Styela clava: one gene and its partner. The main gene of each other region encodes a partner of the protein of the gene in region 2 in a complex. Links are inferred from orthologs where the notes say so. Each region holds a gene or a part of one and is shown on either strand. Other genes may lie near its edges.

Region 1 (17,349 bases), on a different chromosome or scaffold from region 2:
ATTCACCGATTTTACTCATGTCACAATTGTGAAGAATTTTTAATATGTTAAAATGAACCTTTGAATGAAAGTCACAAGATACTAGTTTCATTTTGAACAGGATATAATATGAAGTATACGGTAGAAAAAAAGGGAATATAAAAGGCAGTCAACAAATCATGAAATTGCTATTTATAACTACTATATAATGGTATCCTAAACTTTTTACTGTGTTACCTATTCCCAACAGACTACCAAAGGCAATCTTAAAGTTAATATTATTCGAACACAAGTTGAATTGGAAAAAAATGTTTACAGAAAAAGTGTCATTAGATAGACACAATTATCGAAATTTATCTTATATTATGATTTTGCAGTTCAACGTCTCATAACAAACATTATTAATACCAAACAATTATCAGTGAAATGAATCTGATTATAACAATAAAAGAATATTCAAAAATGAGAGTTATTGGTGATTACTGTGACCATTCCATTTGAATAACTGTCAGTATTAAAATGCACATATCAAACTGATTGTTAGGTACTCCCGTAGTGTATGTACCAGGTTAGGGTTAGGCCATAATTATATTCCAATTCTCCTTATTTTAGTTCCATTACGAGTTTGGGACTGTCTGTGTTAGCCAAGTGAATATACCCCCTGTCATAAGTTTCAGTCTTTTACACAACTTGATGTCTAGTAGGCGAATGATATTAGTTACCTCCATATTGGTAAAAACACTTCTGGAGCGCTTGAGTTAAATCATATATAATATTATTACAATCGAGATTATAATTTTGTTTGAATCAATTTACATAAAATATATCAACAGATAAGGACAAGAATTAAACCAGTAATAACTCTGTAAAGCATGGACTATGTAGTGTTACCGATATTTTAACATCTTTATGTAAAATAATAATAAACTACGTAGGCCTACTTGTTTTTACATACTGGTACTTGAAAATGATTCAAGCAATGATCGTTGCTTAAATCAACCACAGTGGGTCATTTTCTCCTAACGTTACGTACTAGCGTGAGTAATTTGACGTAATAAATGGTGTTACTGCCTCACTGGTTATTTTATTTTTTATCAAACCTACGCACAAAGTCACACCACGTGACATTACGAAACAGGGGATTAAATTTCCGACATATTCTGGGAAATAGATGCACAAAAATATGAATATTCATATAACAATATCCAGCAAGTTTTGATACAAATTCGCGATTACATTTTACATTTGCAAAGTGCTCAGGAACATTATATTAAATAAATCCCACTTTCAAAATTACCAATTTGTTTTTGATATACCTAGCTATATCGCAGTTCAGTGTTCCCTTTCATGAAAGACAAATTAAGTTAATAGCCCTCCATTACGGCATAAATTATTAACTTGTGTCAGCAAAGGGAAATATGAAACCTGAAATGGGAGCATTGAACTCCAACGACAAGGTAATTTCACAGTGCCACTCAGTCGTTACTATATAACTAGAAATAATTATAGATTGTATGGAATGGAGAAGTACATTGAATAATTGTGTTAAAAACAATTTTCATCAATCTGAAATATATAAGACTAAATACAATTTTTGTTGATTCAGACAAATATGACTTTATTAATGAAGTAATCACATATACATGAGAAATCTAACAGGTTCGAAAGAATCCTTCTATGGTTAAAAATAATCCAATGAAGGTTGACAAATTTTTAAAACATAACAATCTGTTCTTGTGATTATTGAAACTTCCTTAATGAGTATCATCATTTGAGGCTACAAATATTTTACCCTCCATGAGATTGGAATCGAAGCATAACATGTCCTAAGCCACCATTACTGCTTTGAGTTGATCTTTTTACTCTTTCATGTTGTTCGAGAAGCTGCAATCTATCATACTTCAACTCTTCGTAATATTTGATATGCTGGTGAGGTCCCTTGGCTGTAAAGTGAAATAGATAATTGTTTTAGAAAAGCGTATTGAGAGAAATGTTAATCACACACTGGTTATGCTGTTACGTTTTTCATACAAATTGCTTTTTCAACTTCAAATCATTCTTTAGATCAGGGTTTCCCAAACCGCGGCCCGCTGGCAAATGTGTCCTGCGTAAAGATTTAAAAGGGCCCGCCGAGCTTAAGTGAACAAGTATGCAACAAATTTTGTTTCTACCTTTTTGTGAAAGAAATGAAGGGTTAATAATAATAGACTCCATCTCTAAGTGCTAAAAACTATAAAGAAGTTGAGGTTTTGGTTGCGAAAGAAGGCGATTCTGGATAGCGCCGAGTGTGATATCACAGTTTAAGCACGCGTTTATGGTAACAATTCGATTAAAGCGGTTATTCGTACCAGTATTAGGATTACATAAGGCAGAATTTAGTTATGAACCATATAAGCTTAGACATGTCAAGACAAAAACGAAAACTAGACTCCGAAAACTGACATTTTTTCGATAAATGAAGTGGTGAATTCACTGAGCCCCAACTAAACTGTCGCGCACTTTTCCAGCCTGCGAACATCCCTCCGTTCCAAATTTTGACTCGCGGCCAATAAAGTCTGGGAACCCCTGCTTTAGATGGTTAAAATTTAATATAGATGTATTAAAGTAACCACTTTGTATGTTCCAGATATACATATGCAGGATTTTGAAAAATATTTACTCAGTCATGCAGTTGACACGTAAATTTGAAGGTAATTGCTGATTAGAGTTCTAAACTAAAGTCTGTGAATACCCATGCTACCCTGTTTATTGTTTTGAGCTCTAGTTATAAGCTACTAGAATTTTATTCATGCTTACCTTCTACAGTGTGAAACAGCACCAATGCGATGGCCACAAATAATTTCAATAACAGCATGGTACCTCAAACAAGACAAGGGAAATGAACGTAAATGAAAAGTACGAGTGTACGTATGTTGAGGTTACTGGTAAACAATTAGCATAGAAAATCTAAGAAGTAGAAAAAACAAAAATGTTTGAAAATTACAGTAGAAATGTTTGGATTTGATGATGTCCAATGAAATTGTAAATTAAAAAGTGATCCATTAACTCTATGTCAAAAATCTTGAACAAAAAAATATAAGAGAAAATCAGGCATTTCCTGTTCCTAAACTAATAATATTTCAAGGTATAATGACAAAATATCTTATTTCGGATGAAATTAGAAATTATCCCTGTATAATAATTGCTACTCTTTTTGTAAAATATAACCTCTTCCAGGGTAGTCATCAGTGTTCACTATTAGCGCACTTTTTTGCGAAAATTGCGAAGCACTTTCGCAACTTTTTTTAGGGACTGCGAAATAGCACTTTTTTCCGATTTTGAAGAGAAATAGCACTTTTTTCCGATTTTGAATGGAATAAAAATTCAAAGTTAACAAATATTTTCGAGTATTAAGTTGACAAATAAGTAACATACTGGTACTTTTGTAACTCAATTCTGCATATCATAACGATATTTACCGGAATTCTAACCTATGAAATGCAGACATAGGAGATAAAGCTTTTGCATTAACGGCAAAATCTTGTTTATAATATGATTATTATACAAGCACACGGATTCCGCTTCTCCGCAAAAAACGCTCCCGGGGCGGCGTTTCTTTGAAGGAGAGTGGTCATGTGACTATCAATGATATCGATGAATTCAAAATGACTATAAAAAGTGTTAGTAACCTGTTATAGTCACTTTGGATGAATTGTGACCAAACTGCACTATTTTCAAATCAGACGAAACTTTTAGCAGCATGTCACAGATTTGCAAAATCAACAAATTCACAAAATACCATTAAGTGCCATTTTATTGTAATCACAATGTTGAAAGGACGTCATTGATATGCGAGGAGGGGTGGGCAAAATTCAATATTTTTTTAAATCGAATATTTTTAAGGAGTACCGAATAAACGTGGTGGAAACATTAAAAAATCGGCAACAAAGCCTTTTTACTGGTTAATTCCGTTGTAATCGCTAATTGTTCTTGTCACCGATCGTTTGGCGGCGATATCCAGGTTTTGGGTAATCTGTATTCCCGCCCTCTCTTTTTTTACAAATATGAATTCTTGTGGGTCGGCGGACATCGAAGTTTTATATTTCGGGTTTACCTGTTCGTTCACATCGGCAACAGCTGTTAAAGACATTGAGGACTCAAATTAACATTTGCGCTGGCTTTAATATTACCTATCAAGATTTGTAAATTTACCGTCCCAATTTTATGCGAATGGTAATATTATTGTCCATACCGTGATGCAGATATTTATTAAGAGTTAAGACGATAATTAACTTTCTCATGTATTTCTATGGTGATAAACTTCGCAAATCTGAAATTGTGCCAATCCTGAATGTGGATTTGAAATAGTGATTGAATAATTCGGCTATAAAGGCATTTCTGCGTGGTCATAAGACGAGATGACGTTAATGAACAGCACTTCTTTTACAGAATATTTTACGTATGCGACTTAATGCTAAAAAGATTGGGCTCGAGTGCTTTTTTTTTCGAGTGCTCGAGTGCCTAATAGACGTCAGGCGCTAATTGTAACTAATTCCCTCAAGTTTCAACGTGTTTTCAACAAAACAATACCCCGGCGATAATTATAGCTAAAATGTTACCGAGCAATTCACAATTTTATTTATGGAATTTGCAAATTCACCAGTTTCTTGACGATTTTGATGTTGTCACGCCCTAATTATTAGTGCAAAAATACTCCCCTTTCTCCGCGGCGGTTTGACGGGTTCTTTGTTCCATTCTTCAGAAAGTTCTGACACGGGGATATAGAATACTGAATCCGGAGGGTTGAATCCCTGTCCACTTACTGGTGATTTTTCGTTTTGAAATGCGTGAAACATTCTCTATTTTAAATTAAATGACGTTTCGCGGGCTAGTGATGTGTTCCAGACGTTAGTTAGACGATAGATAAAACATTAGATTAATAATTTTCGTGACGCCCCGTTTTCGAAAATACAAAGTTATATCGCAAAAAAATGCGTTATGATACATTTGGAATGAAACATCATTTACGGTGAATTCAGATCACATTTTACTCTCCATGACACCCGGTATCTGAAAATAAAGTTGTATCTCGAAAAATGTGTTTTGTTACATTTAAAATAAAACATTTTTGCGATTAATTTAGATCATATTTTACTTTTCAGGAAACCCGTTTTCGAAAATACCAGGTTATATCGCAAAATGTGTTTTGTTACATTTAAAATAAAACATTTTTGCAATTAATTTAGATCAAATTTTACCTTTCACGGCAACCCGTTTCCGAAAATACAAAGTTATATCACAAAACATGCGTTTTGTTACATTTATTTTGCATTCCCAATAAAATACATATTTTCCCTAATTAAGGTCGTCGATGAATCTGTTCCTGTCGTTCAAGCTCGACACACGTTTGGACGAGTGTGGGGCGGTTTTTTGATCGACGATAAATTAAAAAGTTGCCACACGTTATTTGTATAACGATAATAACTGAAAATTAAGATTTTATAATGGAAGTGAATTTGTCTCAAGATGGTATTTTACAATTCCTGCCCACAGAACATAAACACGCTGACAGGCTTGGTTATAATTGATATTCGTTTAATTTATTTTACACTATTAATAAACGCGCCACACCAATTGCGACCATATAAATTGCAGTCGCATCGGTATGGACTGTATGTTTTTGGCGCTCTCAAATTAATAATAATTTTCAACAAAACAATACCCCGACGGTCATTAAAGCTGAATTCGTTACCGAATAATTCGCAATTTTATTTACGGAATTTGCAATATCAAGATCTCACTTGACGATTTTGATGATGTCATGCCCTAATTATTACTGCTTGAATGCCTCAAAATACAGCAAGTGTAAGCATTTTCGACGATAACAGGCGCAACAATTCGTAAACGAGCCTTTATAACGAAATTCGCGATTGATTTTACCTCTCTCTTGTTTACAATTTTAACATCCCGCCGGCCATGTATGGCCGAATAAAATGTTCACATATTCGAAACATGACTTGGCCAAGGATGGAAGGGATCACTAAAGAGCTAATAGAAAGTACATACGCGAGGGTATGATATTAATATCGGGAATATTTGAGCATATCACAGGACGGAAATATTTTGCACCCGGCTGTTTGTTGGCAGAACAACGATACGCTAAAGTTAATTGATCGAATACAGGGAAGTATTTATTTATCATCTCACTTGCGAACATCGAGGTTTTGGCGGAATTGTACGATCATGTTGTCTTTCTTAAATAATAACTTTTTCAATAAATGTTCATTTTACTTTTGCGTCTTCATTATATGTCTGGTTTTCATTTATTTTAAATTCGAAATTGTCCGAAATACTCCAACAGGTGTATAGGTACAATAATAATAGTACTCACCAAAGTACCTACCAGGGAAGTTTAATACACACGATGTGTAAAGGGCGTCGTAACTCCCGTTTATTAATTATAAATTTTTTTACATTCTGCTTAAAAAACAAAGGCAGTCATCTCACGTAACTCTCGCGACCAAATCTTTTTTGTTTTGTATGGCATCGTCTTGGCGACGAATTTATTGCCGACTGAATTTTAATTGTGTTTTAGGTTAGTTATTTTCTGTTTGTTGGTTTCTAAACTTTACAAACTTGGGTAGCAATTACTATTAATGTGAGATTTGTGCATATGAACGATTGAATATCGGGACTGAATGTCCGATATTTGAGAATGCGTAATTCGCTTTCAACATTAATTTTCAGGATATCAGCGTTCATGTGGTCGAATAAAAATTATTTATCAAATGGATTGGTATTTCGAGACACTCTCAAAATTATTTGGGATCCATTATCATATCATTCGTTTATTTTTTATATTCATGTTTTTCTCAAGAATCACCCTCGTTATATTTAGTGTACCTTCGCAAAAGAAAACTCTTTGATGTCATCGTTCCTATTAGTGTAATTGAAATATATGGAAACCTCGCAAGTGGCGTTGTGATGCGAATATTTGATACTAGGTCAGCAGCATTACAAAGAGTGCTATTTATGAATGCTGAAAGTACATGACATTACTAAACATTTTGCCAATATATGATGTTTTCTGCCCGATTTAAACTAACTCGCACGCAAACCAAGGCATGTGGACATTTAAAAATTACTTGTCTTTGGGGAAGCTCTGAAATAGTATAATATAAATGTAAATGAGAAATTAGGTCACGCTAGCTCACGAAACAGGAGGATTTTCAAAGTGATCTTGTGTAATATTTCGGAGAAAAAAGTTTGAAAGGAAAGTAGGTCAACCTATCTCCTAAAACAGGGGAGTATCCTGCATAATATTTCGGAGGGAACGTAGGTTAACCTATCTTTTAAAACAGCGGGTGGCGACTTTCAAAGCGGTTCAAAATCACAAATTAATAATTATCAGATTAGGTTTAGGGATGAATCGAAAAGTTGAATTTCTAGCGCACCTAACCCTAATTAGTTGATTGCTATTTATTTTTGAGGGGGGGGGGGATTATTTTGCACCGGATTTGTACAAACGATCCACCCTGTAATTAATATGGTTTCCAGCCGGCCTCGTGTCTGTTAGATGGAAGGAGTAACAAATGTGAAAGTCTTTGCTGTTTACGCGAGTAAGCAACTGACACCGTGATACATTGCATGAAAGTAGGTAGGCAGGTGTTAGCAGATGTCATTTCGTTGCCGATGAATTCGCTTGTTTTAATTAAACATGAATTCGCTTAAAGGGATTCCGTTAACGAAAAGGCTTCTCTTTAATTCATAATATTAACCGGAGGAGCGCTTTTTCGAGTATCTATGCCGTTTTAAATGGGTTATATGAAAGGCTAGGGCACCTAACTTGTTAAAATCGGCAAAAGCACTTTCGCACTTTTTTTTTGGACTGCGAAGCACTTTCGCACTCATAATTTGCTTAGAGTTAACACTGGTAGTCATAATTTTTGCCATATTCACCTAAAATTAGAATGTATAAAGCAAATATACTTTGTAAAATATTACATAGTATCACATCTAGTGTATGTACATATTCATAAATGGGTGGCACACCGAATTGAAAAATATACTAAAACATTAAACAACTTTGAAAAGTATGTTCATTTTGCCACGAAGTTATGCGAAACATTAACACAGCTTAGTAATCTCCATTTAACTATGTTGTTCTATGAAGTATTTTTTTGTTATACAAAATTGACACAGTTTGGCATATGATTTCACTCTGAAACCTAATCTTATTCATTCAAAATAACTTGAATGCTCCAGACAAAGTGTGGAGCATTCACAATAGTCGAGAAATATCCCATAATCTTTGTTATTGAGTATAGAATAGTATTTCCATTCATCGCCTTCGTTTTCTACGTTCATTAATTGTTGGTGTCAGACCTTCCATACTTCCGTTTACACGAGATGTATCCATATTGGGCAAGGATGGAAGTAACGTCATGACATCATGACAGACTGGGCATTTACATTCGTCCATTGATCTACCCCTGAAATAAGTGGAGGCACAGTACAAGTGTATTCTACTTCTGCATCTCTTGCAGTTAACTCCTTTTAAGACCATACTTTTGCATATGTTGCAGTATAAAACCTCATTCTTCAATTCAGCTTTTATATACGGTTCCAACTCTAGTATTGAACGAGGGGTGAGGTATACCATCCCATCTTTCTCTCCAATCCAATTTTGTTTCACAAGCTTTGTAATCAGAATCTCGATTTCAGATTTCAAAATATTTTTCTGAGGCAATTCTTCCGTTATGTTGAGGATATCAGTAGATGAAACCATTCCTGTATTTGAGCTAACGATAAGATCAACAGCTCGGTGAAAAATTTCAATTTCTATTTTCGTGAAATTTCCTCCAATTACTAAATGATTTATATCATGATCTGTGACACTTATTAGTGCATAGACATCTTGTCCAGAATCTTCATCATTGCCTTTCCTTATTTCTAGGTGGAAAGGTTGAATTTGTTTATTTACAGATGTTATAAACGATGATAGTGTCCACTGGTCTCTATTTTTTTCTGAAACCTTGAAGCACTCATCTAAGAGTGAGTCACACTCATGGTCAGTCGCTGATCCTTTTTGCATCATAGCTTGCAAAAAATATTTTTGGGCATCTCCATATGCAGTCATTTTTGTTATGCTATCATACAGATATTTATATTGTTTTATACAATCTGTAAAGGAAAGTTATACTCAAATAAATAAGAGGTAAATATGGTGGTATATGCCCAGGCCAGTCTGGATTTCATGGCCTTTTTGAACGAGAAATCGGGCGTGCAATCAGAAATTCCCGCATGCAAATCAGAATTCCAGGCGTGCAATTATAGCTCATGACATGCAAAACACCTGCGTTCACGTGCAACTGATTTTGACTTTAGATACTGTTCGATACATCCGCGTTAAATTACTGGTATTGGATAAAAACTACATTAAATCAGAGCAAAAATGGACGTTTGACCTTTGACCCATAAACATTATTTCTATACTTTGTCATTAATTTTGAGTGTTTGTGCGGCTCTGGATACCGGTACTGTTCAGTACATCCGCTTAAAATTATTGGATCAAAAATACGTTGAAACAGAGCAAAATGAACATACCTTTTTACTAATCTGTTAATTTTGGGAGTGTTTTTACATGGAATTATTGGATAAAAATATGTTGAATCAGAACAAACATTTGAACATGGACATTTGACCTTTGACCCCAAATATTATTTCTATACCTTGTCACTAATTTTGAGAGTATTTGTGCGACTTCAGATACTGGTACTGTTCAGTACATCCGTGTAAAATTATTGTATAAAAAATACGCTGAATCAGAGCCATAACTGACCAGCGCCGACTAGTCTGCCAATCTTTTCGCCCATAACTATTCCCACGGGATTCCTATCACTCAACACGATGCGCCACAGCGCTAAGCAATTTTGAAATACTGTCTTTTTTGCTTCGCATTTTTCGGTCAGGCCAAATCTTGCAAGCTAGTATGTAACATAAATTACCCTATTATCGTCACTTTTTACTGCAATCCATCCGAAGACTACTATACTCTAAAGTAACAATTTTTTCTCTATTGTCCCGGAACATTAGCTACCAATCGGAGAAAAAAATGCCAACAGCATTGAGTCGCGAAATGAATTTGCTATAGCGACACCTCACGAATATAGCAGAAATGTGGGTATGGCGATAATAGGAACTACGATTATCCTATTATCGCCACTTATGTCAAACTTTTTTTTCCAAACGCTTTTCTCTTTAAATACATAATCAATTGCTCTGAAATTTTCAACGATTAAATATTATTGCGGCCGCTGAAAGGCTATTACTTTTATTTATTTCAAACATTTTTGTCGGCCCTACGAGATTCGTTTTTCACTCCCTAAGTTTTATGCGATGAGGTCATCAAAATAAATAATTGTGCATCTTAGCATGGCGGTTCTGCGATCACATTTAGGCGTTCTGGCGGTCATCGAAATCGGAATTTTTTTTAATAAGGGAGACTACTGTTATTGTGGAAGATTTGATACCACTTCGTTTTGGTTTTCGTGCTCATATATTTGAGCATTGCTGCTTTGTTTTTTCACGATTTTTTCGGTTCTCTCTTTTGGCGAGCCATAAGTTTCTTTTTCTATTATCGCCACCCTGTGGATGCGAGAGTTAATAATAGCACAATTTTTACAAACACTTCCCATGTCAAACTTGATTCAACCTAGATCTAACACGGACTGATAAAAACTAAAAGAAATAAACATCGTCGCGCTATTTGGGCTGATAATTAGTAATTACCGCCTCCCAAAAAGTTGACCGCGCGTGATATCAGTTGATTTTTATATTTTTCAAAAATTCATGTTTTTATTAAAATGTCTGTACTCCACCGGGCGACATAATATGTTTCATACTTATCACTTATGACGTCGCAATCCGAAAACAACTCGTATTCAGCGCTATCTGAAAGTGCTGAAGTGCAACTGCAGCAGTGCGATTTTAAGAGAGTGTGGTGAAAATTGGCAAGTGGCGATAATAGGGTAACTTACGTTAGTCAACAATTGTGGAGCAAAAATTTGTTGGCATCTTCATATTCAGATATTACTGGATTATTGATTTAAAAACCTTTTAAACCGATTTTTATTGGTGAGCAATCAGCACCGCTGTGTACCGTTATTCCTGTATTCAGCTATTGGCTCTCTAGTCCGATGAAAAAAGGGAAGCGTTACGAGTAGTCCAAAAGCTAGGCTATAACAGGATGAGAAAAAGTCTACTTACAGACTTCCTCAGAGCTACCGGTAGCCTATGAAATCCTATTCTTACAATACAATTTTATTTCGATCTTTCAACTTACAATCATGATATATGTATGCATTATCCGGGTATTACGGTAATAGTTTACTGCTAGTAGCTAGTTTACATGCAGTACGGCGTACACTAACAAATAAACCTACGCTGTCTAGGCAATTTGTAATAAACTCGCGGGTAGCGGTAAGCTAGACAGGCTTACTGTGAAACGGCGCCTGCGTTCTAGTGATAGGCTATCTAACAAAAATTAATCAAATCCTTATTGGCTCAATACTGCCACCTTCTGGCAGACGGTTTGCTTTTATGCGAACTGCTAACGTAAAATAATTTACTCTTGACCATTTCACAAATAATGATTATTATGTACAATTTGTCCACCTCCCTCATCATTGACCCCAAACTGCACACGGAAGCTGATTTAGATGGTCAAAAATTATAATTTTATCGCGGAACGGAAGAGAGTGGGTCTCAGCATGGTTAACCATGGTCTCAGATATTTAATCAATGTTTGTATCTATAAAAAACCTCTGAAACAAATCTTATGGGCTTCTGTTGGTGTAGTTTTGGGCTTTACTTATGCAGCACTTCTATCGTGGAATTTTTATGGCACTCGATTTTATAAAATTAGAGTACGAAAACACGCATATGAATTACCAAAAACCGTTAGTCGTTGCCCAAAACGTGATAATTCGGAAAAAATATTTTACGGATTCAAAGATTTTGGAGGTAATTCCACTCTGATGGTGTTATATTTTTCGATCAGCTTTCAATCACAGTGAAGCACTTTTTCACTGCCCCAATGTTATTTCAGATTTCTAGGTTTTTATTTCAAGTCTGAAAGATTTTGTTTTCCCAACGGCATCGTAGGCGAGCAACTAATAAAATGCAAAGTAGCATCTAGTTCTCGTATATCCTCCAAAACAGTCTGCAGATGTACTTCCGAAAGAGACAAGACAAGACGTTGTGAGAAATGAACAGATCGATTGTATTGTTAAGTCATAAACGATGTCAAAGCCAATAGCTGAATAACAGCGATGCAGATATGCGTCCAAGATTAGGGGTTTTGAAAATTACCATACCGGCTCTCAAAATTAACAATTTGAATATGAGCGATCGCAGCTCTGACTGCCCAACTGACGGTACATTATAATAGTTCAGTTATTGTTAGATTAATTTAAGGCCGGTTTTATCAATTTTTATTCTTGATATATTAGCATTTTTTTTAATTTTATTCCTGCCTTGGCGGGTCACGAATAAAACGCGATGGCTCACTTTGTAACCTGCGGGTCAGTGGTTCGTCATCCCTGGCATATGTTTATGTTCTGTAATTACCAAATAAATGTAAATCCCTCTTTCTTTTTTTCTTCCTATTACTTGTGTGGGCACCGACTTCAATGGTGCATCTCGTTATTAGTTTTGTAAAATTAATAAAATCCTGCCACCTTGAATTCGATGATAAATGATATTATTGTAAAAAATGCATATCAGTACTTTCCATAATCAGAATGCCGTTGGCTGGAGGTCGATTGATTTTAACGCTTTGGCCCTGACACAGAAACAAAATCATCCTCCACGTTGATAATAAGTAAATAAAAACAACACATGCTACACGTCTCATTGTGAAAGGTTTTCAGCACAGCAATAGAAGGTGCATGTGCGCCTTAAATTTAAGTTTAATGTGGCGATTTTTCGCAGACGGACAAGAAGGCCGAAACTAAGTAGTACGAGTATCCAATCTGTCACAGGAAACAAAATCGCACAAAAATAAAAACCTCAGAACTCAGGGAGATAATAATAAACGCAGAGTCCTTCTAGCAATATATATTGTACAGTTTGCGGTGTCGTATCAAATCAACATAGCAGTAAAGCAGTTTATGCATGAAAGTGAAGGATTTGCCACAAAACGTTACACATTGTTTGTAATCCAAGTTTTAACCTCGAGATTCGATTCTAATTCATCGGAATCGATTCTAGTATTAACTCCGGACTCGATTCCGCCATCCGTACTCAGCATGATAAGTTAATATTTTTTGTTGAATGATCGACTTTTTCTAAAATATTTGAAAAAGATGGCATTGAGCTAATCAGTCTATAGTTTTTGACATTTTTTAAGTCTCCGCCTTTATGAAGCGGTACTACTTTAGCGATTTTAAATTCATCTAAAAATGGTCCCGATTGAAGAGAAGGATTAAAAACATGTATAAGAGAGAGCATGTAGTTCCATTGCATCGTTCTGATAACCTTTTAATGGGGACTCCATCAAGCTTGATTTAGGATTTAGGTCTAAAAGCTCGAATAATAGCTTGTATGTTTGTGGCTGTTACCGATGCCAGAAACATTGATGAGTTACTAGATTTGCTCATGTAGCCTACCTCATAAAGTTACCGTCGTTATCATTAGTGAATTTATCAGCCATTCGTTTTCCTGTAACGTAAAAAAATCATCATTGAAATGATCAGCTATCAATACAGGATCACACGTTTCCTTATTTCCTACACCAAATACATTTGACAGTTTAGATTTGCATCGACCTAGCAGGGTATTCATTGTTTGCTACGATTTTTCAGATAGTTTAAAGTTTTACTCAAAAGCGATCTGTAGTAAGAATACTTTAGTCATATTGGTCGGATTAAATGATCGAGGAAAAATGTTTTCTTCGTTTTTAAGTGTTTTTTGTTCTGTCGACATGCACTGCATTACAGGTAGGTGGTCAGAGATTGCATCAGTTAGAATAGCACTGACAGGTTTTCGCTCGTATATGTTTGTCCATATATGATCAAGAATTGTTGCGCTGTTTTTGGTTATTTTGGTCGGTTTGGTTATAGTGGGATAAAAAGAATATTGATTTATCAACTTAGTCCATCAGATCATAATTAAGGTCACCCATCATTATAATATGTTCTGATAATGAGGGTAAAACAGTGTTCATGAGATTAGAAAAATCTTCATTTCTAGAATTATCAGACCGTGGGGATCGGCGAATAGTACCGCAAGTTACAATTCGGTCTTTGAGATAAACGTCAACAAATAATGCTTCGAACAAAACTTGAAACAAAAAATTCACGAGAACGGGTTTTAGATTTTATGATTTCATCAATATTCTCGACAATGAATGGTTTACGGGTGGTAAAATGCCAAGTTATTCCAACAACATGATCATGTTTTGCAACCTACAACCAATATTTTGTATGTAACTTTGTTTGACAGAGCCCCAAGAGATCTAACTACAAATATCAAAAAAGTTAGGCCAAAAAATTACACTACAACATAGTCAAATGTGCTGTAATTACGATAGATAACAGGTTTACCAAAAATCATTACATGTAAAATGGTAACAAAAAGATCAATTCAGCAATATCTTCTTAAGAGTTGGTGATATGCATTTGTTGATGATTTTATGTGTTTGTTTCGGACATTTAATGACAAAATTAATTGTGGTTGTTGGGGATGTTTCAATAAAAAAAAATAGCTAATTACGTTATAACTGCAAGCAAATAAACAAAAGATAGCCCTATTATATTGAACTCTAGTATTTACGCGCACCCTTTTCAAGACGAGGAAAGTGTACGTGATGCCTTCGGTACACATTTCAATGTTTTGATGTTTTCGTTTCACGATCGAGAACATCAGGCGGCACGTTTCAGGTTTCATCACGAAATATATTCAAAAGCTCCCAGCAGAGTAGGGATGAAAGCCTGCTCATTTGGAAGTTTTTCGTTGTAGTTGGTACTTTGGCCTAATGTGAGATATATTTTGCTCACTGTTATTTAAAGGATAAATCGAAAATCTTTTTGTGATTGTTGAGACAAAAACACGACTTGTGTGCTTCGAATTGATTATCCAATCCAAATTATTCAAGTGGGTAAAATTTGTAAATTTAGAAGAAAGTTGAGTCAAATTTTTAATCAGGGTTTTATTTTGAGTTTAATTTAAAAACTTTAATGAGTTGTCATGAGACATGTCATCGTGCTGACTGAAAATCCTTTGTATCCTTGACTTAATCAGTGACCTTCTGCGATACCGATAAAAAGTCATTCGCCTTGTCCATCTTTGACAGTCGAATAATAATATTCTATAATTTTATTTATTTCTATCAATTTGCAATGAAACTAATCGGGTAAAATACATTTCGATATCTGCGGAAAATATGCTCAGATACAGAAAGGGAAAAATGAAAATAGCAGTTTGTCTTCTCTGCATTGTTTTTTGTTGCTCCGTGACCGCAAACGATTGCAAGAACAGCAAATCAAAGCAAATTGTGGATTGGACAAAGGTAATATGCACGCAGAGAAGTGCCAGTTTGTTCAGTTATTAATTTAGTTTAATCACATACGTGCGAGTAATTACAATCACTTTGCGTTGCAAAGCCTTTCTAGAGTCCATTTTATTATGCCTATGACGTTACAATGCCATAACAGCTAGTTTGTGCAAAGCGAACAACGCATGTCATAAGATCAATAACCAATTTTTTGTTTCTGAAACCACAAGAAAGCCTTTGTTAAATTAAGGTGCGGCCCGCGGTTTCATCAAGTTATCTGTATGGGGCCCTCCTGTAATAAAGTTTGCACACCTCCTGCCTTACATTGTAAGTAAGTTATCCCTCCCCACTTTTTTGAATCTCTCAATTTGTATGTTACGTATAACTCCACATATTTCCACTAATACCCATCTGTGTTTCAGCTTCAAGGCAAAATTTGGTACGATGCATTTTTTGTTCCAGCAACATATGCAGCCCTGGATTGTTATCACATGCGCAATATCACCATCATGCCCGACGGCGTATATGTGACCATATCTATAAACCTAATGGGGTGAGAAATAAAATGAAAATATAATTGCTCATCATAATACATATACTCATCATAAAGTATCAAAACCACACCAGCAACCGTTGAGTGGAATAGCAATATAGTCAATTCATGGATAGGAAAACCGAGACCGAGGAAACTATTCAGAAAATTCACTTTGATAGCATAATAGCATATTAATTGTTAACTTAATCAATTAATTATTTAAATAATTTATTAATAATTAATTTAATAAATTAGATAATTATTAAAGAAACTTTACAATATATCATATAGGTTCGAATCTCATGATTACGATCTTCAAGTGGTGTCGAAAGGATCTGGAATCTATGCTCTTGCACATCAGTCAAGTGAGTATCAAATATGTTCAAACTTAACCAAGTAAACGAGGAGACGATTTTTATATTTATATCATCTGAAGGAAAGGAAAGTAGGTAAGACAGCAGTTCCCAAACCTTTTGTTCGTGCGAAGCCAAATTATCAGCAGGAAAATTTCACGGCGCACTTACACGAAAAAAAAACTGCCCCTTTGGAATAAAACCTAACTTTGTGATCGTTAATGTGTAGTTTATGCCTTTTAAAGTTTGTAAACATGTAAACCTAAGAAATGAAGGCAAAAGGTCAACTTTTTGGTACTCTCGAAGTATGTGAACCAAGCTGGCGGTCACCAAAAAGTAGTATGTGTACCAGGTTAGGATTAGGCCATAATTTTATTCCAATTTTCCTTATTTTAATTCTATTACGAGTTCGGGGACTAGATAGGTGACTCCCGTAGTATTTGTACCTGGAATTATGGCCTAACTCTAAGCTGGTACACATACTACGTTCCGGTGTCCGCCATCTTGATTCACATACTTCGGGAATACTAACCTTTCTCTCTCATCCCTTCCCCTAAAAAAACACTCATTTCGCTAAACTCGGTTCAAAAAATAAAAAAAAACTGCCGCTCACGAAACTCCAGCACGTACTGTCTATCTTTATTGTTACGTAACAATAGAGGCAGGTACTGCGTAACAGAAGGTAAACGACATAGAAAGGTAAAATTAATTTATTGATTCATATACACAACAAGTGAATAAGAAACAATGAAAATTTTATAATAAATACAATGTAAAATATGCAATCGTATTTTAGTTATGTTTGCCTTATTCAGTTCATTTTCGCGGCGCACAACTTGGAGACCGCTGCGGTAGGAAAACTCAATTTTATAGAAAAACACCTTACATTTTTCCAAAGTTGAATTTATATGCATTGTATTTTTAGAGAAAAATAATGATCGGGCCGT
Region 2 (16,867 bases):
CATGTTTTTGACTTCGTTGATGAAAACGAAATCTTTCCGTTTGGATAAGGTTACCATATTTTCGTGACCTCAAAGCGGGACGCCTCCAAAGCCCAAGCTGTGATTTTTTCAACTTTGAACGTACTGATTTTACATTAGGGGCCTATATTTAAAACCATTCCGCCTGTCTTCATTGAACATAATGTCATCGAGAGTTCATGTGCTCTCTGTCCAAATTCGAAAAATAGAAAAGAATTTACGTTAACGTTGAGCACCCTTTTGGCGTACGGAGCTTGCAATTATCCGACAACAACAACGAAACACACAACACCACCTTCAGTAAGTAGGCTACCAGTACGCTACACAGCAGCAACAATATCGAGAATTGGTTTTGTTCGTGTATTATTCGGACTGGCTGAACGCCAAAGCGGGACTTTTGGCTGACCGGTCGGGACGCCGGGACAAGACGTTTAAAAGTGGGACTGTCCCGCCTAAAACGGGACCTATGGTAAGCCTACGTTTGAACCAGTGATTCTGGCGACAAGTGATCTTTCAACACTTCACAAAGTTCTGCAAATGCTTTAGTGGCAGGTTTCTCAGGCGCAACCAAGTCACGTACAAGCATGAAGGTTTTACGCCCAATGACGCTAAGGAAAACGCTGACCTTTGTCCCGTCATATTTTCAGGCGGTTCTGTTACAAAAACCGGCTGAATCCCACTACTGTATGTAACTCATTGCTCAAGATGCTCACACGATTCTTGGAAGCCACGGGAGACGTATTGAATATACATTAAGAAAGATCGCCCAAGAATTAAAATGTTTGACAGAGGGTGAAGTTGCAATTGTAAAATATTTGTCAAAAAATGTTTCTTTCGCGACATTCTTCAACTAATCTTTTTAATGAGACTGCTAAAGATCTTGAAAATGGCATCACTGAGGAGCTGCCTATGAAAAAGTTTAAAACGATCATACAATGAATAAAAAAGGTATATATTAAAAATATACTATATTGTCTCTAATTACTGTAAGTACTCAACTAATATTTATAAAATTACTTGTTACTTGAGTGATTTTTTAAGCGTAGGCTACTTGAACCCAGCACTTGGTATACGACTATGACAATTCCAATATATTTTCTGAATAAGAGCACAAAATAACCCTAACTTTGTAGATGTCGTCATCAGTAAAAATTAAGAAAAACAAGAGAGCGACGCTCAAATATATGGACACGAAAGCCAAAACGAAATAGTACGGGTATGACTTTACAGTACAATATAGTACAGTACTGCCGGTACCGCAGTAGTCACCTGATCACAAGCTAGCAATGGACGCAAACGCAAGGTGCGCAATCCTAATTCCCAATACCGAATAGAAAGAAATCAATCTGACTCAAATTTAAAATTTCCAATGGTACCACTTCTGAAACAGTCGCCGCGATTACTTCTCCTTAACCGCTTGAACCCGGCAAGCCGGTTTACCGGCTTGTTTGAGTACGCTCTGTGCCCCGGCAAGCCGGTTTACCGGCTTGTTTTTCGTGTCGGCGGGAATCAACTTTATGATCTCGTATCTCAAGAACCACAATGAGTATTTAAATAAATTTTATATTGCATGAAAGCTCGTTATTGGGACTAATTATATTGTGATGATCGGTGCTCTAATATACGATGTTTCAGTAAAATTGGCAATTTGAAAGTGCGTATGAAATTATTGTATGATAACAAATATTTAATATAAAGAATTTCGACTTCTTGCCTAAATAGCCACATATTCAATCGGCAATATATGTGGAGAATTTGAATAGCTTTTTATATACGTATCCAAAACGATTTTACGACGAGCCATTCAAATTTTATGACCAAATATATTAGATTATCTGTAGATTTAACAGCGACGCTGCGTCAAATTGATGTTCTCATTGGAGAGAGGCAACGTCTCGTCACGCACACCTTTACGCATATTACGCAAATGCAACTAAACGTGACGATATCCGCAATAACGTTACGTCGAGATGTTATTATTCAAATGTCCGCAGGAAGTAATTAATTAACCCGATGCTACGCATTCAAAATTCGCACTACGATTTGACTTTGACTGCCCGCTCAAGCCCATTAAGTTGTGGTTACGTATACGCAATATGAACAAGATTGTGATTTTATTAGCGGATAACGGAACAATAAAGACCATGAAAAATGTATGTGCATAAAAGACTGCTTGCTAAAAATTTTAAATTGAATATTGCACTTCGTTGTGCCCGGAACAATGAAGAACATGAAAATATTAGGCAGACTAAATCCAATATTGCACTTTGTTGTGCCAGTTATACCAATGGTTGTTGGTTTCGTTACCTATACATAGGTACTCATTACAGTATTTGTACTTATATACTGTCTCGCATCGTTTCAGCAACGCTTTGTCTTTAGCAGCTGGATTGGTTTTTTGGCAATAATGTAAATTTTGCTGCATACGACGCATCTATTATTAGAACTGGCGTTTTGCGGTGGGGTATCTAGTTCTGGCGACGGATATGATCTTGTTAGAATAAGAGTTGCTCTTTCTGCAGTATTAGTGCTCTCAGATATTATTCCATCCACTTGCTTCGCCTAACATTCGTAAAATCAGATATTTTGATCTGCAGAGCAGGTAAGTACTTATTTTGGTTGATATTTGAACAAATACTAATGGGCGAATAAAACATTTTCCACGTGAAATTTTATATGACGATATTAACTTCACTTCGCTATTACTGCACGCATTACTCGACGTCGGTACTTCAATCCATACAGGGTTAATATCATATCGAAACTCGGCGACCGATGTTCCGCTGAGAACGTCGTCGTGAAAGTTATCTTGCGCATTTTGCCACGCAATACGTTTCGAACGTACTTATCAACATCTTCATGACGGTAGTCACGTGATCGGCTTTTGCGTAGCTGCGTAATCAGTGCGTCATGGCCGCTTATCGATGTTGTTCACCCGACACAATGATACACAATTAAATATTTAAATATAAAATTGGTTATATGGCAGCCACAATAGTAATTCGAATATCAACAAAAAGCTTATAAAAAACTCTTTATGAACATCAAATATTGGCAGTATATTTTGTACCAAACTAACAAAATTTCAAGCCAAAACTCACATACATGCAGAAAAATGACTGTTAGATTAGGGTCAATTTTATTAATTTTGACAAACTGTATTTCAAAATGGAAAATACATTCTGAATGCACGATAAAATTTCCTTTCGATTGAAATGTCTCACAACGTGCTACCTATAATTGGTAAAAAGTTACAAGCGTGCCAAATAGCCAGTATTTAGACTTATTTTATTGTTCAACCAATACGGCGCCGCGAACCTTCAGGGTGAGCGAGTAACTTCGCTCAGAGCCGTCAGAGTTCAAAGAGTTAATGCTTGTCTCACATTTGCACAACTAAAACAACATGGCAATCTGCAAACATAAAAATGTGAGAAACACTATCAAATAACATTCAGTGTTGATACGTATTGCGAATTCGTCATCGCAGTTAGAAAAATCTTAAGATCTGCTATCAAATCCCAGAGAGTACGATTTAATTTAGGTGAATAAAAATACATATAAAGTATAGTAAAGAGCCGACGTTTTTGACGGATAATGATCATTTTTTGTACAAAGTAATCAATCCATACGTGCGTATTTAAAATGTCTTGCTTTATTGATTTAATTGTGTTTAATTAAAGCTGTGGCAGCTTCGACAAAATAAAAGCATTATCACTCTGAAATACTACGACAATCTGCGGACATAAAAATGTGTGGTAAAGTTCATTAAGTCTCCGATTTTATCGTGTTTTGCGATTTCGTGAGCTCGAAAAATCTGAGCTGTTCTTGCAGCACTTTATTTTAAACATATTTAAATTGGACAAATCTCTTCTTATGCGATAAAATTCCGCGAAGCAAAATTTATTTTAGTACAACAAAAAATTGTTTAACCTAATTTTAGAATTAATCAAAGGTACCTTGCGCACACAATTGACTGTGTTTCAATTTGCAATGACTGTATCGTTTCTAAAGCCAATTATTAAATATGTGCCGTAGGCACATGGGATTTTTCAGCTTACAGTATCTAAAATAGTGCTTTGAAACTGTCGCTGGCATTCTAAATCGAAACTTACGGTGTTTCCGTTTATGTTTAGTATTTTGTATTGCCGCTTTTTAATCAAGAAAATTTGGTTTGGTCACTCACTCCTTTAATTATCTTAGCATCTCGTCGCCGATGGGTATTATGATAACTCTTCTTTCTCACTGGTTTCAAAGTTTCATGCGGGGAAAAAAAGTAAAACCCACTGTGCTCAAAACACATACATATACGCTGGGGAAAATTTGTCATTGACGGGGAATAAACACCGACGTAAAGGTTTTTACGGCTTAAATAACACGTCACGATGACGAAAACAATCAGCGATTTTACCAAAATACAAACGCACGCGTTGTCAGCGACTTTTTCACAATCCTCCACTGCGAATTAGCAAAAATGACGCTTCAAAAGTCAACAATATTAGAAAAAAAAAACTCTAAAATAATTGGATAATCGAATTTCGATCTTTAAAACGCTTTCGCAGTGAAGCGGGTAATGCAGCACACCTTTCTTAGTGAATACATACATTTTCTAAAATGAGGGAACCTGTTGTTAGTGAATTGGATACAAAACAAAACCTGTTCTTCAAATATTTGGCATAATTTAAAATGGTTTTAAAAATCTTTCTCGATATCCATCTTCTGTCAAAATACGTATCCAAAATGTCTCTGAAGCTCTATTTCGAGGTTCAGCTTGTATATATTTAAGTCCAGTAATTGAGATACGTTATAAAATTTGGACGCGACACAATAGTAATTAATGTATGTAGAAATACTTTTTTGAAGTAACAGTAAAGCCCAAAATAGGGATTTACTTGAATCCAAATCGCCAACTCAAACATACCAACCAAGACTCCTTTACACCTCTGCTTCTGTCCCCTACTTTCAACCTGCGACCTCTGTTCTCTACCACGCTTTCGTCCAGTGCACTCTTAAATCCCCGATAAATATATACTGCAAATCACTCATAAAACACATTCAAAAGGCCCCCAGTAGAGTCGCGTCTCCAGTTTTAGAAAATATCGCACACCACGTCTAAGAGCTATCGCTGTGGTAAGGATGTCACGAGAAAGCGCCAAAAACGATTTCTAAATGGTCATTCATTTGAAATATATAGCATCACGCTCCTAAATTTCCCAACGAAAAGGCTTGGCGTCCTGAATAAGCTTTACTGCTGCCCCTTAGATGCTTAGTTCCGCATGAGCTCTTGCCCAAATCTGAGAAACCACAAAAAGCATTCATTCATACGCAAGTTTCTCAATACACCAACGCTATCTCAAGTTTAGAGTCTCCATGAAAATAAAATGTCAAACACGCCTGACTATTGTTTGGTTGACATAATAAGAAATCTCGCTCTCCCATTGCCATTAGAATCCATTCAGTGTGAAACAAACAATTGCATAAGACTGTGCTGACAATACATGCAATTTTAATATGCATTATTTTATAGAGAGAGAGAGAGAGTCTCTCCCCAAGAGAGCCTGCTTTTTTAGTATTAAAAATTGGCGATTTGGGTCATCAGTCGCCCATAACAAGAATCTGTGCAATAAACGCAACGCCTAAACTCAATCGAGTCTATTCTGAAACACAACCTTATGGCTCGGCGAAACACGTAATTGTGAAGTTGAAGGCCAATAATTTACTAGCAATGCAATGCTATGGGTTTCTTCGTTTGTGTTTGTATATTTCGTCGATCATAAAAAAGGACGATGCCGGTCTGCTGACAATAAAAAGATATCATCGGTTGACAATCTTCTTTGGGACAATGTGAATAATTGAGTGCTCGGTCTACTGACTCTCATGGTACGTGATCACAAAAATGTTTTCAATGTTATAAAAACTCAACAAATGGTTACAACCTTTGCCCCAAATGGTATGAAAATACTAGAGTATCATGAAGAGTAAAAACGATAGAATTATGAGAAAAGAAAATGATTCCAAAATTTATTAATAAAAAAGTGGCCATTTCATCCCTTCGAACGCAAACTTGCAGTAAAGATATTGAAAAGATAACCCATTTCACCCCTTCAAATGCAGGATTGGAGTAAAGATACTAAAACATAACTCAAATCAGGCCAATGTATAAAAGGTGTGATATTTTGGGCATGATATAGACTTGCAGCCAAAGGTAAAAAAACTATGTCAACAATATAGGCTACATAGTGATTCATTCAGCACAACAATAGCTTCTATCCATGGCCTGCCTGTATGCCAATCGAACACGACAATCAAATGTTTATAGTTTTCATGTCAAATTGGATGATAAATTCACCTGAAATCATTGCTTTTGTATTAATTAAAAACGTCTAGGTCAAGTGTGCCCCAATTGATTCAGTTCCAGTCCACCCATTGGTTGATAGAAATACCACATGGAATTGGACAACTCATTCAGACGATAAGTGCACAATTTATCACGGTATGTTTAGAATTAAGAATTTCATATTTATCATAAGAATTATTTCATATTTTATTTGGACTCTGCATTACAAATCAATGAAAATCTCACTCTATAGTTCATCATGAAATCGGCCGATTCATAGGAAAATCAGATACACATTAACATACAAGAATCAAAAAGACAATCTTTGAAACAATATTCCAAGTATTACATTCTATCTCTGAATAGTTCATACACAAGGATAAAAGCACTTATCAAAATCTATGATAAAAATCAATCTAGATGACTTATTGATACTGATCAAATAGCATCAGATGATCAGATACCAAATTACCTTGGTCCTACTGTATGTGGCAAACTACTACAGTCCAGGATCACCCAACTCATGCTATGTAACACACTTAGAAGATGATGAAACATAGTTGAACACAAGGGTTGCGATTTTAAGCTCACAACTGCCTTTAAATTTCAAATGTGATATCACATCATTTTTCAGCTCATACTCAGTCATAAGTTTTAGCACTGAGGTACTCAGCTTCTAACTCTTTTTGATGATGGACCATTAGCTCTCTCAGGGCTTTTAGGCTCTGAAGGTTCTATGAATGGAGCTCTTCCTCCTAGTTCATAAATATCAATAATTTCCCTCCACTCATCCATTGACATTGATACCATGACTTGATTACATTTTTTTTCGGTTTGAGTATTATCTTCCTCATTTTGGTTGACTGGCTCAACAACTGGTATTTGATTTTCATTTAAAAACACACGAACAAAGCCATCTTTGACGAGAAATGCCATGTGAAACATGTTTTCAATAGTATGACCAAAAGAATCCGGATTTACAACAAGTTCAAAATAGTCTATTGGGACTGGATCTTGTTCATACATTTGTTGAATCACTCCAAGCACTCTTTCAATTTCTTCTGGTGTGGCTTCTTTTCGATCCCCCTCGAAATGTGTAAGGTGCTGCGGCTGTGTTTTAGTCCCTGTATCGTTATCTATGGGGTCAGACTGTGTGTGTCGCCTTCTTAGTGCACTGTGCTCAAATGTACCAGACATAACATTCAATACAGGGTTCACGCTAGAAAAAAATTTAGAGGAATATTGTCCGAAATTTTCCCATCCTTCTGAAGTGATATGAACTTCATCTTCTTCTTCACCAATATAACGCCCATCCATTCTGGTCACTAATTTTTCCATGAATTCCTCAGGTTGAAATGCCACAAGATCTGTTTGAAGTTGATTTGTTGTTTGCCCCGCAATAGACACTGATAATGCCATAAACCGTGAATCTAAAGCTCCCTCCCTCGTTGATTTCACCCTTTGAAATAGAGAGTTTGCTTTTTTGACACGATCCAATAAATCTCCACTTTCTGGTTTTACAAATTCTTCCTTTTTGTCTTGGACTTCACTGATCAGTTTTCTGTATTCTTGTCGAATCTTCAACCTTTCTGCACGTTGGATAGGTGTCATAAATTTGCTTGATAGAGATGAAATCTCCATCTCTTCATCTCCGTTTTCTGCCATGTCTATTTTGATGAGATATACACTGTATTCTAGGACTATAACCTAAAACAACATTGAATTGATATAGTCAAATAGGCACCAATCCTTATAGTAAAAATAATGTGATTATCTTACTACTATTGGCATATCAATTATATCAAACTTTCCAAATCAGACAATAACCAAATTCTCCAACTTAAAACAAAGAATAAGCAAGTCCAAGAACAAGAAGTATAAAATAATTTATTAATGCAAATATTATTATGTATTATATATGTATATTGATTTTTATAAAACTCATAGAATGATACATTAATTGAAAACACATGTACCAACTCAAAATGTCAGTTTTCCTACCAAAACTTCTGTTTTACATAGACCTAATTATTGTGATATTTATTTTATTTCAAAAAACATGTTTGTAAAATTCTTTCAAAAATGAACAAAACTAAAATATTATAAATTTTGCACAAAATCCCTGGATTTATAAGCAGTATTTTGCCAAGAAAATTCGTGCATTACACGTCAACTAGCACAGTTTTCACAAAATTTGAATGTATGAATGATACAGTAATAGATAGCATACAAGGAATTTTAAGCCTTCTCAACCCCCTGCGAACCCAGTTTCCTCAATACGCATTTTTATAATTGATGAAAAATTCTATCGCAAACAAGAATACATGCGGTACCGGTATATCATTATACTGTTACGGTATACTGGTATATGACTACTGGGCTATGACCAGAAGACAGAAAAAGTCTGAGTCTTACGGTTGAATTTATGCTTAAACTAATTTGGCTACAAAGTTAAGTAAAACATGTATCTTTGTATAGTTTCAAGATGCAATTAGCAGATTAGTAGTTGGGAATGATACGGTAATTCAAGTAAGTGGAGGTTTTTTTCGTCATGAGCGATGAGTTCATAAGTTGACAAATGACTGCATGAATTTGCAAATGCAATCAGCTCATACCCTAGAATTAAAAAACGGAAATTGAGGAGCTAACAAACAGAGGAGGGTTTAAAATTTTATAGGGGTGTTCACGCAGTATAATACTGTGATACCGGTACCGGTACCTGACGACGTCTGATCTATGTCTCGAGCATTGGGCTAAATATCGATCTCCCGCTTTTAAATTATACCGGTACCGTACCTATCTGTATATAATGTAAATCAGTACTTGTAATAGGCTTGCCTCTGCTAATGGTAGCTGAATACATGAATGAGATGTGTGCGGAACAGACTCAATACAAGGGGTGGTGGAGGCTAACTCGCCATGCGACGGCGGTTAACGGGTACGGTACCGGTATGCCTGCAACTGCACGAAGGGTCTTCTTGTAATGGGAGATGGAAAGGTGGCTGTTTTACTTACAACTTCAATCGTGAGGGCAAATATAATAAATTGAATGTGTTTGGTTAGAATACTGTGCAAGGGATAACAAAGTGACAAGAAAACGTACGGTACTCGACACGCAAAGGAGGGTCTCCCTAAAACCAGGCACTTGCGAATTCAGGCACTTTTTCAGGCACCATTTCAGGCACTTTGATATTTTTTTTTACCGTACGTCATTGGGGTTTCCAATTGACCTGACAAGATAATTGAACTTTAAATAATTTTTTGCATCCCTATATTGCAATAAAACAATATTATTTCCACTTTATTAGGGTATAAATAATTTTTCAATAGTAAAATGTGGCAACATTGATTACAAAATATAGAAATCAGGCACTTGTGAAATTTCAGGCACTTGGTCAAAACCTATTTTACAATGTATCTGATTACTCTAAAGCAGAACATTAAATATATACACTTTGTATGGTTGAATTTACAACATTTTGGTAAAATACAATACCGTTTGTGACTGATGGAGACATGTCATATTTCGCAAGTGCCTGATTTTTCATTTTTCTCGGTGACAGTTGCCATATTTTTTCGCAATTATTTTCTTAAATTGTTTGCGTCAGCACTTATTATTCTTTGCTTTCTAACGCGAATTCATTGTTCCACAACAATTTGAGCGTTTTTAATATTGCAATGAGCAATACCATTTGACAACATATGGTCAATCATCGTACTTTCTGGATTTATTTGAAATTGAATATGAATAATAAAATCTGGCAACCTCAAGCACAAAATACTAAAACCAGGCACTTGTGAAATTTCAGGCACTTCGTAAAAACCTATTTCTCGATGTTTTTATACACTTTGAAGCAGAAAACTAAAATATAAACTCTTTTTTATGATTGAAATGACGTCTTTTTGGTAAAAAAACAAACACGATTGGGACTGGTGATGAGGGGTCAAATTTCGCAAGTGCCTGATTTTTCATTTTTTTCGATAACAGTTGCCATATATTTTCGCAAAAATTTTATTTGCGTCAGCACTTACTATACTTTGCTTTCTAACGCAAATTCATTGTTCCACAACAGTTTGAGCGTTTTTAATATTGCAATGAGCAATACCATTTGACAACATATGGTCAACCATCATACTTTCTGGATTTATTTGAATTTGAATATGAATAATAAAATCTGGCAACCTCAAGCACGAAATACTAAAACCAGGCACTTGTGAAATTTCAGGCACTTCGTAAAAACCTATTTCTAGATGTTTTTGTACACTTTGAAGCAGAAAACTAAAATATACACTCTTTTTTAGGATTGAAATGACGTCATTTTGGTAAAAAACAAAACGATTGGGACTGGTGATGAGGGGTCAAATTTCGCAAGTGCCTGATTTTTCATTTTTTTCGATAACAGTTGCCATATATTTTCGCAACAATTTTTCTAAATTATTTGAGTCAGAACTTACTAATCATTGCTTTTTAAAATAAATTCCTAGTTCTACAACAATTTCAGCGTTTTTACAATGAGCAATATTATTTGACAACATATAGATAACCATCGTACTTTTTAGATTTATTTGAAATTGAATAGGAATGATAAAATCTGGCAACTCCAATCACAAAATACTAAAACCAGGCACTTGTGAAATTTCAGGCACTTTGTAAAAACCTATTTCTCGATGTTTATACTTACTTTGAAGCAGAAAACTAAAATATACACTCTTTTGTATGATTGAAATGCCGTCTTTTTTGGTAAAAAGGAAAAACGATTGGGACTTGTGATGAGGGGTCAAATTTCGCAAGTGCCTGATTTTTCATTTTTTTCGATTACAGTTGCCATATATTTTTGCAATACTTTTCATAAAATCATTTTCGTCAGAACTTAGTACTTACTATACTTTGCTTTCTCGTTGAAATGTTTTTTAAGACAATCCGATGTATATTGAGTGCTATTCTTATCGCTAGTTTCAATTCGACGTCTGCCCGAGGGTGGTGCAAGTATTTATATTTGAAGTGAGTACATACCTCTTCAAAACGCCCATATGGAAGATTGAACAAGGCGGAGTCAACAAAAATTCAATCACATTTGGAACGTTGTCGCACTGCATCGTCGCCACTCATATACTCTGACATTCCGATGCATGAATTTTGCTTTCTGGAAAATAATAATTGGAGTGTCTGTTAAAGTGCGAAATGTATACGGGAGCACGTACAATACCAATGCTGCGTTTGCAAGCGTTGTTATCATGATACATGTGAGAAAGTATCGAAAGCGAAATTGTGGAAGTGTAAAATTTGTATTCGGTAAGTCGGTGTTGCCAATGTGGGTATTTTCAGGGCGCTCCCGTAGTAGCCTATGTGCTCCAAGATGGCGCACAACCTAATACCTCTATCTTGGTACACATACTATGTTCGGGTTGTGTGCCAACTTTGTGCACATACTACGGGAGCACCATTTTCTGCACAACCTATTCTGATGCTCATTCGCGACATGAAGACACTATACGCCCGACATATAAAAGTAGCAAAATATACACAAAATCTTTTCATGTTTAATTTCAGAACTGACATTTAAAATTTTCAATTCTTAGATCTGTGGTTTTACCTAATTGCAAGATACGTAAATCATATCATGTCAAAATAGAACAAATAGTAAGGATTTTCATTGGATACTCAATATTTCTAATAATTTTAAAATTGAAAGCTTCGATTAGTGTTCACTCATACACTTCCATTGTGAAGTTGTGTTTTTAATGTTTTATCTCCTTAATAAATTTAAATTCAAATTTATATCCCCGATTACTGATGGAGAAAGATCTATAATCGAGAGTTTAATACGGCTTCTGTGACATTAAAAACAATTACTGTTTTACGTTTTTATATATTTGTAACTTTTTGAATAACGCAAAAAAATTCGTTGACTGACTACTGGCGTGTTGAATATTAAAGGATTTTTATTGTAACATTCGTTTAACGATGCTTTTAAGCCTAACTTTGGGCATATCAGCTACCTGATGTCATTTGCCGAGCGAATTTTGTTTAGGTGACATTGCCATCTCGTATTTACCATCCTGTAGCCATTCTTCTTATTTAGGAACTACGTGTTTTACAGTTAGCTGTTACAGCATGAAATAATGTACAAATAATTCTACGTAAACTATCCATGAAATCCATTCCATAAACTATCCATGAAAAGATATTACAGTCAGATCTTCAGGTTGTAAAGAATATTATACAACAGCAACAGCAAGTGATTGAATATCTATATTGTAGCCGTGGTTGAACACCGCTGGTTGTCAATATAGATTTTGCACAGGCTTTTATAAATTTTGTGAACGGTAAATTATGTTCTATTAGGGGATAATGTGACTTGGATACGTATTATAAAAGATTCTATACGACATAAGTCAATTGTTTCTGTTATGTAGTTTATATGAAGTCATAGGCCAAATTACATTATTAAAATCGTCGTCCGATAACAATTAAAACTGGAATTTCGAACTGATATTGCCAGAAGACAAATTAGATTGTTTATAACGATGCGATTGTTACTACCTGGGTAATATATTACGTCGAAATGTTTATAACAAATTAGAAGAAGTTTTGAACCAATTTCAAGGGTTCCGAACATTACTATAAAGATGTCGTCTGATTAACTAATATTCCCTACAGATCTGTCAAATTTGAACCCGTATTTAAATAATACATATGTCATACTTTTGAATTAATAAAAATAAACAACACAATGTCATTCAAACTTTACAATATTCAAATAGTTTTGCAAAAGCGTGATTGGTTTAATTAAATATCGATTTCCGGATGTAGATACTGATGTTAAAAGTTTAATTCCATTTATGCTAAGTGGAGCTCTCATACAAACATTGACTTTTATAAAATTATGCAATAGGGAAACAACATATAAAAAAAAAGACAAAAATTATAGAGATATGGCAACTACCATTGACAAAACCAAAAAATCAGGCACTTGCTAAACTTGCTACATTTCCTACCAGTGACAGTTCTTCTTGTTTTGGACAATAAAAATACCAAATTCAGTCATACAAAATGTGTATATTTGGATTTTCGGCTTTAAAGTAATCAAAAACATCGGGAAATATTTTTTTACAAAGTGCCTGAAATTTCACAAGTGCCTGATTTTAGTATTTTGTGCTTGCGGTTGCCAGATTTTATCATTCCCATTCAATTTCAAATAAATCCTAAAAGTACGATGGTTATCTATATGTTGTCAAATGATATTGCTCATTTCATTATTAAAAACGCTGAAATTGTTGTAGAACTAGGAATTTCCTTTAAAAAGCAATGATTAGTAAGATCTGACGAAAATGATTTTATGAAAAGTATTGCAAAAATATATGGCAACTGTAATCGAAAAAAATGAAAAATCAGGCACTTGCGAAATTTGACCCCTCATCACAAGTCCCAATCGTTTTTCTTTTTTACCAAAAAAGACGTCATTTCAATCATACAAAAGAGTGTATATTTTAGTTTTCTGCTTCAAAGTAAGTTTAAACATCGAGAAATAGGTTTTTACAAAGTGCCTGAAATTTCACAAGTGCCTGGTTTTAGTATTTTGTGCTTGCGTTTGCCAGATTTTATCTTTCCTATTCAATTTCAAATAAATCCAAAAAGTACGATGGTTATCTATATGTTGTCAAATAATATTGCTCATTGTAAAAACGCTGAAATTGTTGTAGAACAAGGAATTTATTTTAAAAAGCAACGATTAGTAAGTTCTGACTCGAATAATTTAGAAAAATTGTTGCGAAAATATATGGCAACTGTTATCGAAAAAAATGAAAAATCAGGCACTTGCGAAATTTGACCCCTCATCACCAGTCCCAATCGTTTTTGTTTTTTTACCAAAAAGACGTCATTTCAATCATAAAAAAGAGTGTATATTTTAGTTTTCTGCTTCAAAGTGTTTAAAAACATCGAGAAATAGGTTTTTACGAAGTGCCTGAAATTTCACACAAGTGCCTGGTTTTAGTATTTTGTGCTTGAGGTTGCCAGATTTTATTATTCATATTCAATTTCAAATAAATCCAGAAAGTACGATCCTTGACCATATGTTGTCAAATGGTATTGCTCATTGCAATATTAAAAACGCTCAAATTGTTGTGGAACAATGAATTCGCGTTAGAAAGCAAAGAATAGTAAGTGCTGACGCAAATAATTTAAGAAAATAATTGCGAAAAAATATGGCAACTGTCACCGAGAAAAATAAAAAATCAGGCACTTGCGGAATATGACACGCGTCCATCAGTCACAAACGGTATTGTATTTTACCAAAATGTTGTAAATTCAACCATACAAAGTGTATATATTTAATTTTCTGCTTTAGAGTAATCAGATACATTGTAAAATAGGTTTTGACGGTAAAAAAAAATTGCTATTGTAAGTTTGTAACTGAATACCACGAGCAGGGTATGTTAGTCGTTGGTTTTGACCAAGTGCCTGAAATTTCACAAGTGCCTGATTTCTATATTTTGTAATCAATGTTGCCACATTTTACTATTGAAAAATTATTTATACCCTAATAAATTGGAAATAATATTGTTTTATTGCAATATAGGGATGCGAAAAATTATTTAAAGTCTAATTATCTTGTCAGTTAAATTGGAAACCCCAATGACGTACGGTAAAAATAAAAAAATATCAAAGTGCCTGAATTCGCAAGTGCCTGGTTTTAGGGAGACCCCGCAAAGGATGTCTCAACTTATCATTTTCATCTAAGCATGCTAAATATATCACCATATTAATTGATTGTGTGAGTATAAATCAACAGTACCGGTGTACGGTATACAACCTAACCTAGTTAGTTACAAAAGTTTTATTTCGCTACCGCCAGTCTCATTTTATTCTAAACAGCCGTTGGATGCGAGCTCGAGAGAGAGAGAGGGCTAACTCGCCATGTCTATTTTCTTTATATTTGTTGATCGACATCGCGAGTTTGAGAGAGAGAGAGAGGGCTAACTCGCCATGTCTATTTTCTTTATATTTGTTGATCGACATCGCGAGTTCGAGAAATTTATTATTTGTCAACCAGAAAAAGAAGCGAGCAACAGTAATAAAAATATACAACAATAAAGTTATTCGGTATAACGACTAACATACCGGTATAGACCGGGAGGAGCGATACGGTCATCAGAGTCAGCTCCCCCCCCCCCCCCCCATATTCATTATTTTATATTATGTATAATATTTTTTTGCTTGCAGAGGGATGTCAAAGTAATATATAAGAAGACAAGTGAATGATAAATAAAAATGTAAATAAATATAATAGTATGAGTCGATGTAACAGTAAAATATAAAGCAGCATCGTAATTTCACTATCACAAAATATGAATTTAAAAAGCACCATTGGCGAGTTGTACATAATTAGGAGGAGAATAATTTCTAGGGAATAGTACTAGATTAATATATCAAGTCAAAGGTTCTCGAATGTAGAGCAATTCAACCTAAACACAACTGGCATTTAACATTGCCAGTTGTGTTTGAGGATTTATTTTAATGTTAAATGATTGACATATGTTTTATGATTGAGTAAATAGTTGATTTATATCAGACACTATGATTTGACAAGCCACTGTCTACAGATTCGAAAATTTTCACATTTTGACAGGATGTACTATTGAGTTGGTAGTATTCCACAACTATAATGATGGAATGAGACCAGGAGGAAATTATTCAATGATGACTAGAACCACAGTAGGCCAGAACGAGTTGTATAATATATACAGGAAGTACTCAAGACATGTATGCTCAAAAGAAGAGTATAAGCTGCAATATACTATACATAATATATATATTAATATACCTAGGACCCGTTCGATCAAATATGATATAATAGACATACAATTTGTAATAATGTGTTTCAATTTGAATGACAGAAGTACAATGTTAGGTGACATCACCCATTATATACAATTGGAATAATACAAAGGTTAAACTCTAAATGATCTCCACTATACAAAATACCATATTCCAGAATCTGAATAGTTGCGAAAGATTTATCATTATTGTTCAGTCCCTTATCAATTTTTATAATCCATATTGCCCACATATAAGGGCAGATGTCCCAAATTCGTATGGACTCAACGTAGGAAGAGAATGTAGCCTTTTTTATCAGTATATACAATAATAATGATTTGGGACGTATAGATGCAAGTTTGAACACAGAAAATTGGATGCAGCAACTCATATCAACATATACAATAATAATGATATGGGATATAAATCCTTTAGATTGGATTAATAATATAAATGCAAGTTTGGTTTAACATAGAAAATAGAATGCAGCAATTCATATCAACATATACAATAATGATAATTTGAGAATTTTAATCCAAGTTTGGTTTAACACAGAAAATACGATTCAGCAATTTATATCAACACACGGTAATGAACGCACGCCTTCAACCTACAGCATAAATTGTTTAATTTTATAGGCCAGAACTAAAAAATAAATTCAGGAGAATAAGAGCCAATTTACCGTACCTATTTTC

Evidence for each region.
Region 1: non-structural maintenance of chromosomes element 4 homolog A-like (region 2) and non-structural maintenance of chromosomes element 1 homolog share a complex: the UniProt entries of both Homo sapiens proteins name them as parts of the SMC5-SMC6 complex. The link is inferred for Styela clava from reciprocal best matches to the Homo sapiens genes NSMCE4A and NSMCE1.

The regions. Positions count from the first base shown.
Region 1 is NC_135251.1:24,039,113-24,056,461, forward strand, and holds non-structural maintenance of chromosomes element 1 homolog, read right to left. Parts: upstream 9,156-17,349; 5' UTR 9,098-9,155; coding exon 8,300-9,097; 3' UTR 2,925-8,299; downstream 1-2,924. Other genes in the region: disintegrin and metalloproteinase domain-containing protein 10-like, read right to left, coding at 1,772-1,922, 2,776-2,833; uncharacterized protein LOC120336825, read left to right, coding at 15,404-15,529, 15,937-16,067, 16,341-16,414, 17,328-17,349. UniProt on the Homo sapiens protein: RING-type zinc finger-containing E3 ubiquitin ligase that assembles with melanoma antigen protein (MAGE) to catalyze the direct transfer of ubiquitin from E2 ubiquitin-conjugating enzyme to a specific substrate.
Region 2 is NC_135257.1:6,217,805-6,234,671, reverse strand, and holds non-structural maintenance of chromosomes element 4 homolog A-like, read right to left. Parts: upstream 8,078-16,867; 5' UTR 8,018-8,077; coding exon 7,022-8,017; 3' UTR 5,756-7,021; downstream 1-5,755. UniProt on the Homo sapiens protein: Component of the SMC5-SMC6 complex, a complex involved in DNA double-strand breaks by homologous recombination. The complex may promote sister chromatid homologous recombination by recruiting the SMC1-SMC3 cohesin complex to double-strand breaks.